Ovis aries: one gene and its partners. The protein of the gene in region 2 binds, or shares a complex with, the protein of the main gene of each other region. Links are inferred from orthologs where the notes say so. Each region holds a gene or a part of one and is shown on either strand. Other genes may lie near its edges. The genes, in order: MED24, MED13 and MED25.

What was found.
Region 1: MED13 (region 2) and MED24 share a complex: the UniProt entries of both Homo sapiens proteins name them as parts of the mediator complex. The link is inferred for Ovis aries from reciprocal best matches to the Homo sapiens genes MED13 and MED24.
Region 3: MED13 (region 2) and MED25 share a complex: the UniProt entries of both Homo sapiens proteins name them as parts of the mediator complex. The link is inferred for Ovis aries from reciprocal best matches to the Homo sapiens genes MED13 and MED25.

What each region holds. Positions count from the first base shown.
Region 1 is NC_056064.1:40,087,913-40,091,563, forward strand, and holds part of MED24 (mediator of RNA polymerase II transcription subunit 24), read right to left. Parts: coding exon 3,625-3,651; intron 3,502-3,624; coding exon 3,402-3,501; intron 3,093-3,401; coding exon 2,917-3,092; intron 423-2,916; coding exon 158-422; intron 1-157. UniProt on the Homo sapiens protein: Component of the Mediator complex, a coactivator involved in the regulated transcription of nearly all RNA polymerase II-dependent genes.
Region 2 is NC_056064.1:10,833,086-10,835,758, forward strand, and holds part of MED13 (mediator of RNA polymerase II transcription subunit 13), read left to right. Parts: intron 1-203; coding exon 204-304; intron 305-645; coding exon 646-778; 3' UTR 779-2,673. UniProt on the Homo sapiens protein: Component of the Mediator complex, a coactivator involved in the regulated transcription of nearly all RNA polymerase II-dependent genes.
Region 3 is NC_056067.1:55,910,210-55,914,583, forward strand, and holds the start of MED25 (mediator of RNA polymerase II transcription subunit 25), read left to right. Parts: upstream 1-1,485; 5' UTR 1,486-1,580; coding exon 1,581-1,714; intron 1,715-1,807; coding exon 1,808-1,853; intron 1,854-2,323; coding exon 2,324-2,448; intron 2,449-4,374. UniProt on the Homo sapiens protein: Component of the Mediator complex, a coactivator involved in the regulated transcription of nearly all RNA polymerase II-dependent genes.

The DNA of each region.
Region 1 (3,651 bases), about 29 Mb from region 2:
GGAATGGCCTCTGGAGCCCAAGGAACCTTCTTGAGCTGGGATTCGCCAGGCTGAGGGTTGGGGAGCCAGCCAGCCAGACCTAGCTCAGTCTCATCAGGCCTGTCTCTGGCAGTCTGAGGATGCCTGCTCCCACAGCCCACCCCCAGCACTCCCGTACCTTAATCAGGTTGTTGCAGAACCAGTAGACACCACCCATGTGCAGCAGGGTGTCGAAGATGTGGATGGAGCGGCTGTCCACCCATCCCTTCTCCAGCACCTTAGCAAATATGTCCGTCAGCACCTCCTTGATGGGCCGCTTGGGGGGCAGCAGGTTCCAGTAGGGCATGGTGTCCATGCCCGTGGAGGGAAACTTAATCTGCGTGGCGGTCTGCTGCAGCACGTCCGCACACATGTGCTCCAGGATGGAGCTCATGATCACCACCCTGGGGGGGGGCGGGGGAGGGCCAGTGGTACAGGTTCAACAGAGGGGGTGGGAGTCGGGGCGGAAACACCCAGGCCCCACTCCTCCCAGGATTAGGGTTACGGAACCAGGAACCGGGAAATCAGCCTCATTCTGTGCTGAGGGAGGGAGGGGACAAGAGGAAGTTGCAAACCCTGAGCAGATGTGACCCCACCAGCCCTGTGCCAGCACCGAGCCTACAGGGGGTTGGTGGGCACTTGCCTCTCGGGTCATTTCAGCAATATATTCATACTTTTTTTTCCTCTCTCAGTCTCTCCCTCCAACTTCCCCACCCTCCAAGCCCGGGCCTGCCAATCCTCTGGCGTCAATATTGATAAATACAATCACTTCCCTCTAGGCTGTGCTCGAGGGGGGTTCCCCACCCGGCCTTGGCTTCCTCCCAAAGTAAACTGTTACTTCCAGGACAGGGGCCCAAGGGCTGCCCCACAAGACTCTTCCCGGCCCTTGGTAGCTGGGCAAATGTAAGTACATCCAGGAATTTCCTCATGACAGGAGTCTCTGATGGTGAATGCAGGTCTGGGCCTGAGAGCTAACCGTTCAGGGAACACTGCATGGCTCTGGGAAAGTCACCACGACTTTCATAGCCACTTTTCCCACCTGCAGGATGGAGCCATAGATTTCCCAGACAGCAGTTAGGGTGCTCACAATCAATTATATCAAAGAAAATAGTCCCTGATTTGTGGGAGGAGGATGAGGAAGGAGGGGAGGAACAGAGAAGGAGGCAGGGGAAAAAGACCCTCCCGATCTCATATCAGCTGTGTTTCCATTTTTTCCCTTAAAAGACATTTTGATGGCTACCTTGCGGGTCATCACTCATAACTTAATGTTTGGTGCAAGCCCACATTCATAGCAACACTAGTCACAACAGCCAAGAAGTGCAAGAAACCCATGTGTCCATCAGCTGAGGAACAGATAAGCAAAATACAACATATACATACAATGGAATATAATCCAGCCTTTAAAAAGCAAGAAGTCCTGACACATGCAACGGTGTGGTTGAACTCTGAGGAACATTACACAAAGTGAGACATGCCCGCCACCAAAAGATGAACGTGATATGATTTCACTTATATAGTAAATTCACAGAAACAGAAGCTAGGGTGGCGGTTGCCAGGTGCTTGGGGAAGGACAGAAAGGGGTGGTGTTTAATGGGTCCAGGGGCTGGGGTAAAGACAGGAAGGGGTGTTGTTGGTCCAGGTTCAGAGCTACAAGATGGAAACATTCTAGAGATGTTTCACAACAATGTGAATATACTTAACACACTACTGAACCCTACCGCTGGACCTGGTGGTACAGTGGAGAATCCACGCACCAGTATAGGGGACACAGGTTCGATCCCTGGGCTGGGGAGATTCCACATGTCTCAGAGTAAAAAAGCCTGTGTGCCACAGCTACTGAAGCCTCCAGACTCTAGGGCCTGAGAGTCACAACTGCTGAGCCCAAGCGCCCTATACAGCCCACACGCCACAACGAGCGGCCACCACGATCGGCCACCACGATGAGAAGCCCGTGTACTGCAATGAAGAGTAGTCCCAGCTCACCACAACTAGAGAAAGCCCACGTGCAGCAACAAAGGCTCAGCAGAGTCAGAAAAAAATAAAAATGAGCTGTTATCTTAAAAATGGTTAAGGTGGTAAATTTTAGATCATGTATTTTTTTACCACAATGTTTTAAAAAAGCTTACTGGATGGGTAAACAAACCCACACCCCCTGACTCAACATAGCTGAAGTTGCTAAGGAGGTCTTCCAAGTCTCTGAAAAGTCCAGGGAAGAAAAAGTCACAGAAGAGGGGGTGGGGGCAGGGTAGGGAGGGGGTGGACAGGCCCACAGCCTGTAAACACTATAGAGGGGCTCTACAGCTCCTAGAGAGGGACAGAGCTGAGATAAGACTGTTCCCACCAGCAAGCACCTGGGACTCAAGCTCTCCGAGGGCAGGAATCCTGGCCGTTTGGGGTCTGGAGTTTGGCACACACACAGCAGATGCTGGATTATAAACACGGCCGGCAAGAAGACACATACAAGCACTGCTGAGTCAGTGAGTGAAGATGTGATTGAGAATGTGAGTGAGCAGGCAAGTGGCATGTCTGGGGAGGTATGAGAAGAGGGGTAACTTCCCTGGTGGTGCAGTGGTTAAGAACCCACCTGCCAGTACAGGGGACACGGGTTTGACCCCTAGTGTGGGAAGATTCCACGTGTCTTGAGCGACCAAGTCCGTGTGTGCCGCCACACAAGAAGCCACCGCAGTGAGAAACCCACACGCCACAACCAGAGAGTGGCGCCTGCCCGCCGCCGCTAGAGAAAGCCTGCGCACCGCAGTGAAGACCCCATTTATTCATTGTACGCTACATAAATAAATGACTGATTTTTCCAAAGAGGGAGAGAGAGGAGGAGGAAGAGTGGTTACTGGAGGGGCTGACTTCTCACCACAGACCTGCAGAGTTCAAGAAGGGACCGACCTCTCGTTGTAGAACTGCAGCGTGTTCTCGCTGTACAGCGGCCCTGCCAGCTGGCGGATCATCTGCAGCGACTTCTCTCGCTCGTCCAGTCCCAGCATCCGCACGTGCGCCACGAGCCAGGCCACAGCGCACACTGCCAGGCTGCACACCTTCCCCTTGATATTATCTGTGATTTTCTGGGCGAGGGAAAAAGAGTGACTGGGGCCTCTCGCGCCCTCCCTGGCCATCACTTTCCCCGGCCTCCGTGAGCAACTCAGCAGAGCAGTGGGGTCTGGGGCCACGTCCAAGCCTCTTTTCACCACAAGTCTGATTTCCCCAAAGTCACCTGGTGAGAGAGGGTAGCTTAGACTATGACTACAGGGGAGGCCAATGCCCACACACGGGCTTCTGGAGGAAGGGTCGTTTTGTTTTTATGAAATGTAGCAAACTATCAAAGACTGGCTGTGCCTTAGGGAAGAGGGAAGGCTGCGGAAAAGAGGAGCTACCTGGATGGACTCGAAGGCTAGCACCCCATTCTCCCAGGCGTTGAGGATTTCCAGGATGGCCGCTGAAATGTTGAGACAGGCTTCGTGCCACTTCATCTGCCTACATGGGGATGGGGGTGGGAGAAAACATCACCACAGGGGTGGGCGGGCGTGGGCGGGGCTGAGGGAGAGGGCCCAAGCCTGCCCCCACCACCACCCCGGGGGCAGGCGCCCAGCCACTGACACGAGCTTTATCTCCGAGGAGTTGTTG
Region 2 (2,673 bases):
CAAAAGCAATGAAAGTGAAAAAATTTTGTTATGCGCTTAAAAATTGTATAATGAATTAAACAAGAAGAATAGCCATGTTTATAGTGGCTCCCATTCATTACATAAGTCTAAAATATATTTCATCAAGGAAGAGACCTTGGGAAAATAAGGTAAAACCAACAGATTTTTTCCATTTGGCTGACCGATTACCTGTTACTTTTTAGGCCTCTTTGCACCTCCACGTGCCTTCAGTGCAATCTGACGAGCTGCTTCACAGTAAACACTCCCACCCACTGGACTCAAATCAGACTTCAGATGTCCTCAGGTACGATTCTTTTTACCATTAAGCTTGGAAAGAATATCATGTTGATCCTTTCATATTTTTCTCATTTGGGGCAGTAGTTTACAGTTGTGTTACCTTTGGATCCCTAGTTGAATTATTTATCATTCAGAATGAGTGCTTTCCTTTCTAATACATGTTATCTACCTCTGAGAACAATTTTAATGAAAATCAGTTTTCTTTAACCTCCATAAGACCCTCTATTTCATTTCATACTTTAACTTTTTGTTTGTGTGACTTTTAATCTTATATGCCATCTTCTAATTTGCTTCAAAAATTTACAATGCAGGTACATACATGACTTACTTAGTTTACTTGCTTTTCAGGTTTGTTTTGGAACAGTACAATGCACTCTCCTGGCTAACCTGTGACCCTGCAATCCAGGACAGACGCTCATGTCTCCCAATTCATTTTGTGGTGCTGAATCAGTTATATAACTTTATCATGAATATGCTGTGATCTTCATTTGATGGAACTGTGCAAGAAAAGAACAAGGAAAAAGATTTCGCTGCAAGATTAAGTTACAGTTATCTTCTCAGTGAAAGTCATTTGTGATGGGGTCTAATTCTTATTACTTCAACAAATATTGTTTTGACTTACGGGGAGGGGGCGATAACCCTGTTATTTTTCATTGACTATACTGAACTCTTTAGGATGATGACTGATCATACACAACGTATTATAACATTTTCGTAGCAAAATTAACCTTTTTTTTTCCAGTCACAGTATTTGTGAAAAGTAATGAGCCATAGTACCCAGTCATGTTAAATGAATATTAAAAGCATGGAGAAGGAAACATGAGGAACAATGAATTTCAACATATGGCTTCAGAACATCAAGATGTTCTTGTATTGGATTATAGTATCTAGTATTCAAAAATGCCTGCATCTCTTATTTATTGTAAGTTTTTAAATGTATAAATTGTCTTATATTTCTTAACCTCTTTTATAAAAATTTTCCTAGAAGGTTTATACTGCCTTCTTGCTTTAAAGCAATTGGTCTAAAATACATGTAATCGTCTTAATTAAAAAGTTGCAGTAGGGTCGCTTTTAGAGTATTATTTTTTTGTAAGGGGGTGGGTGGGACAGTAAATTTGTATTGTCTTGATGTACAGTTTAATGGGGATAGAGGGGAAATAATGCCCATACCATTGTGTGTGGAGGATTTACAGCTAAGCTGTAGTTGCAGAGTACATGTACAGTAATGAAGTTCACTGTGTTTATAAATTGAAAAGGTACCGGGTCTTACAACATTTTATATCGATCACACCTTTACAGAATAACATGATGGCAATATACAAGTGATATTGTTAGGTGGTTTAACTTAGAATAAAAATGAGAATTCTTCAGTTATATTTTGTACTATGGTTTAGGGCTATGACTAATATTTCAGGCCATTTCCAGTGAAAGAAACTTAGTTTTACAAGAAAAACATTTGCTACTGAATGCTTAAACTAATTTTGGTGTTTAATGTTACATGCTTAAAATTTTTTGTTTAACAGTGGCACATCTAGGCATGGGAGTATTATTAATTATGAAAATTATCTTCAGGATCTGCTATAGGTTGAAATTTAGCCCAGCTCTAGGCATTTTACAAATTATTTTAAGAGCAGTCACTCTTGATTGTTTGACTTTTTTTTTTAATTAAAGATTGGGAATGTGTGTGAGAGTATGCATATGTATGGGTGTGTGTGTGCAATCAAACTGTGGTGTAAATAGATCTCAGTGAATTCTGGTATTCAGACTATTCCACTAGTTAAAGAACCATTTTCTAAACTTAGCCTGTTTCCTTTTGCCTTTTTTATTTATTTAATTTTCTTGGTTTGGAGATGGCAGTCCCAAACACCAGAGTCTGTACTTTTCTATAACACAGCTCAGAAAAGGCAGGGCATATGCCAAGGAGGTTCTCACCTCCCTAAAGAAGGGACTTGAATTTTAGGGACTTTAATTCACCCCTTCCTTCAATACAGCTTTCCCTTTTCTTGTTTGCACATGCCAAGATAACTGCTTTTATGCAGCCTTTATCCCCTTAAAAAAATCCTTTCTACAGTGCTGCTCACAAGAGAGTCCAAGTTAGCCTCCTACCTGTGTAGCTGACTTGAATTCACAGTCGCCAAGTCTACCTGTCTTTCTTGGAAGCAGTCTAGCTAAATTCTGAATTTGTATGTTCACTAATTCTCTACAAGGACAAAATGGATTGTATTTACAAAACTGTAATTTGGTATGTTTTGTTATTTTTTTTTTAAACTGAAACTTGTTTTGTAAATACTATATGCTTAGCTTAAATATCACTTTCTTATGAAAAATATAACTTCTTCAAATTGTGTATATTAAAACATTAGCAAGTCTTGTTTT
Region 3 (4,374 bases), on a different chromosome or scaffold from region 2:
TAATTACACTAGCATACAAAAGAAGGGATCTGCTTTAGATTTAAAGGAATTTTAAGATGTCTAAACACAGGTTCAGTCATTGTTGGATCTTGATGCAAATAAAACAATTGTAAAAAGACATTTTGTGAGAACTGGGAAAATTTGATTATGGATTTAAGTGTTCGACAATACCAAGAAGTAAGAATTTTGTTAGAGATGTTAATGGCATAGTGGTTACCTGCAACTTTGGGGAGATGCCTATCCAGCAGGTAGAGGTAAAATGATACGATGTTGGGATTTGCTTTACAAGCGTTCAGCAAAGAAAATAAAAGGATCAATAAAGTACATGAGACAAAACAGTGATACTGCTGAGTGCAAAGCAATGCACCCTTTTACCTTGAAATATATTGACAAACTGCATTGGAGCAAGCTGTTTTGGTTTTCATCTCCACTAGATCACGTCTGAGCCTGCTCATTTCACCCAAACCTTCCCACCGTCATGGACTTATTTTTCCAGCATTAATTAACATGACAAAGATAAACTGACTTATCATTGGACCCTGTGTTAGCACTTACTAACTTGTGCATATGAGCGACTTTCAGTATGTTTTTGCGTACAGGAAAAACCTGCTTAGTTTCCTCCCCAATTAAAAAAAAAAAGTATTTCTGTTTTCCTAAGTTTGTATTGATCAGTAATACGTATTTGGGTAGTAAATTTCTGTCAACACATGTTACAGTGACTTCCGCAGTTTACCGTATCGTTTTCAGCTTGGTTTATGAAGTCTTCTGCGGACAAACAGCTCAATATTTTCCGTGCTCTGGCTTTGCTGTAATGATAAGAAACTCTTCCCCAGTCTTCAGGATTATACAGTGTTATGGTTTCATTTGTTATATTTACATTTTTAATCCACCTGGAATGTATTCATGTTCTAGGCCAGTTTCTGGCTCTTCTCCCAGAAAACAACTATCAGGTGTTGCTTAGCAACCTCCACTCGGGTTAGAGTTCGGCTTCTTTTAGTGGGGAAAAAACAGCTGCACTCCTTTCAGAGTTGATTGCCACCTTAAAGCGTTGCCTAGTAACCCCGTTTTAGACGTTGTGATTGGACCCTTCACACGACCCACCCACCCCCATCCCCCAAGAACCAGTAAGAACTTAACTAGAAACCTAATCTGTCTTTTTAGGAAAACAAGGGCAGCGTATGCGTTGCATAGCAACCAGGTCTCCCGGCCCTTCCATTGAAACCGGTGTCGGAAAGGTCGCCCCCCCCTCAAAAATGGCGTCTGACGCGCCGCTTTCAGTATATTTCGCCCTCGAAAGTTCTGCAAATAATTCAAGCTTCCACCTCTGGTCCCCGAAGGAGTTCTCTAGGTCCTTTTTGAGTCTTGCACACACTGGGAGCGAAGGAGGATGGAGATAAACCCACCCGCCCCGGGCGCCCCGCACAAACATGGCCGCCAGCGCGCCGCCAGCGCCGAGAGGCCGTCCCGCGCGGGGGCGCGCGCGGCGCAGGCGCACTTCCGCTCAGCCCGCGGTGTCTGAGGCGGCGGCGGCAGCGGCGGTGGCGGCGGTGGCGGCGACGGCGGCATCTGCGGCGCGGGGCATGGTCCCCGGGTCGGAGGGCCCGGCCCGCGCCGGGGGCCTCGTGGCTGACGTGGTGTTTGTAATTGAGGGCACGGCCAATCTGGGGCCCTACTTCGAGGGGCTCCGCAAGCACTACCTGCTCCCGGCCATAGAGTGAGTGCCGTTTCCGCGGCCCCAACCCCGCCCTCCGAGTTTAGTTTTCCACACTCTCTCCTCACCCCGACCTTTCACTTCCGACCCTCACAGGTATTTTAATGGCGGCCCTCCTGCCGAGACGGACTTCGGCGGAGACGTGAGTCTTGGAACTCTCGAGTTTGAGGGAAGATGGGAGTCCGGACTGGGTCTGCGGGAGGAGGGGGCGGTACCTGAACCCTGGGCCCGAGGTGGGAGGGCTCGGGTCCGGACTCCGGGGTCGGAGGCGGGAGGGGCTGGGGTTTGGACACCTGGGTCCGAGGGGCTGGGGTCGGGATTTGCGGGTCCGAGCGGGGAGGAGCTGGGGTCTGGACTCTGGTTTCCAGGAGAATGGGGCTCGGGTTCTGGGGCTGAGGGAGGAGGGACTGGGGTCCGGACTAATGGGTCCGAGAGGGGAGGAGGCTCAGGTCTTGGGTCCGAGGCGGGAAGGGCTCGGGTCCTGGGTCTGAGGTGGGAGTACCGGGGTCCGGACCCCCGGGTCCGAGGGAGGAGGGGCTGGGAGCTCCGATTCCCCTGAGGGAAAAAGGAGCTGGGTCCCAGATGAAAAGTTCTCCTGTCCTCCCCTCCCAGTATGGGGGCACCCAGTACAGCCTCGTGGTGTTCAACACGGTGGACTGCGCTCCAGAGTCCTACGTACAATGTCACGCTCCCACCAGCAGCGCCTATGAGTTTGTCACCTGGCTCGATGGCATTAAGTGAGCTCTTTTCTCGGCTTCCGGAAGGGTTGGGGGAACCTGGGAGGGACGGCAGAGGAATGGTGCTGCCGGATCCAGCCCCTCACATTGGTTGCTAAAAAGGGCTGCGATGGGGGTTGTGGTTTTGTCCCTAGGTCACTTCAGTGGTCGGTTCTGTATGCTCAGCTGGTGTTGCTGTCTGGCTTGGAAGTAGAAAGAATTTCCTGGTCAAGGAGGCCTGGGGAAGTCCAGCACCCGTCCTACTCCTCATATATTATTCTCCTTTCTGTCTGTTGCTTCTCTTGTCTACTCTAGCCCTTCTTTTTCCTACTAGGGGCACTGAAGCTTGAGCGCAAGAGGGGTGGGGCTAAGCCTCTGTGCTTTGGAGTCAATGTTGATAGTTCACACTGCAGGTGCAGACAGCCTGGGGCCACTTTTCAGCTCTACCACAACAGGACTGCCAGACCCACGAGTCCCTGTCCTCTGTGTCTAATAGAACTCATCTCTAAAAGGGGAACGGTAATAGTACTTATAGTCATCCTGTTACTTATCCAGTGTTGGGAAAACAGATTAAAGCTTAGTGACTTGGAAATTCTCTGATGGTCCAGCAGTTGGGACTCTGTGCTTCCACTGCAAGGGACATGGGTCTGATCCTTGGTGGGGAAACTAAGATCCCACATGCTGAGGGGCACAGCCAAAAAAAAAAAAAAAAATTAATTTAGTGGCTTGTTTCCTTAAGTAAGGAATTCAGGGGTGGCTTTGATGGATGGTTCTCACTCACGGTCTCTTGTGGGATTTCAGTCAGATGAGCTGGGACCGCAGTCATCCAACTGTTGGATCGGGACCAGAGGATCCATTTCCAAGGTGGCTAACCCTGTGGCTGTTGGCCAGAGGCCAACTTGCTAGCTGTTCCTTGCTAGCTGTTATTCCTAAGATATCTCTCCATGGGGCTGCTTGAGTGTCCTCCCAACATGGCAGTTGGCCTTCCTCAGCCTGAGCAATCCAACAGAAAGAGCAGAAGGAGACTACAAAGATTTTTATAATCAAATCTTAGAAGTCACACCATCATTTGTGTCACATTCTGTTTAGTATACAAGTCAGTTCTGTTCAGTGTTGGAGGGGGCATGAATACCAGGAGATGGTGCTCAGTGGAGATCTAGTTCCGGTGACACTATAGGGGACTTTGGGAATCAAACGAGTTGATGACTGTTGAGAACAGTGCCTGACACGATTAAGCGCTCCCTCAGCTTTTGCTGTTCTTTTGTGTTTTGGTTTCTTGGTCTGCAGAGGGATAACGGTAGTCCATATCAGCACTCAGAGAAGGGTCACAGAAGCTAATCTTCATACTGTGTTCAGCTCAGGGTCTGGTCAGAGTCCATTAAACAACCGGATTCGTGGGCTGCTGTTATCTGCAGCAAATGTTTGTTGAACACTTGGTTTGTTTCAGGCTTCACGTGCTAGACCAGGCACTGCACATTCACTTTCCCCCCTTATGGTTGTTAGAATTCATGGTCAGGGCAGAGCAGGGTTTCTCAACCTCAGCACTGTTGACCCTTTGGGCCAGATGATTATTGTATGTGTGTTGTGGAGGGGTGGGGGGCATTCCTGTGTGTTGTAAGGAGTTCAGTAGCATCCTTGGCTCCTTCCCCCCCAATGCCAGTGGTCTCCTCCCTCCCCAGTGTGATAAACAATAAAAACAAAGATGTCTCCAGACATTGTCAGATGTCCCTTTGGGGACAGAATCCGCCCCAGTCGAGAACCTCTGGAACAGATTGTGGTGAGACTTGAATAATGTGGAATGGGGGCTCCTTGAGGTTCAAGTCCAAGTCTGATGTCCCTCAAGTTTCTAGCACCCAGCACAGGGCCTGGCATGAAAGAGCCCCAAGGAAAACTTTGTGGAACAAGCGAATGAACGAATGTCCAGAACGCCCTTCATGCTCTGGTTCT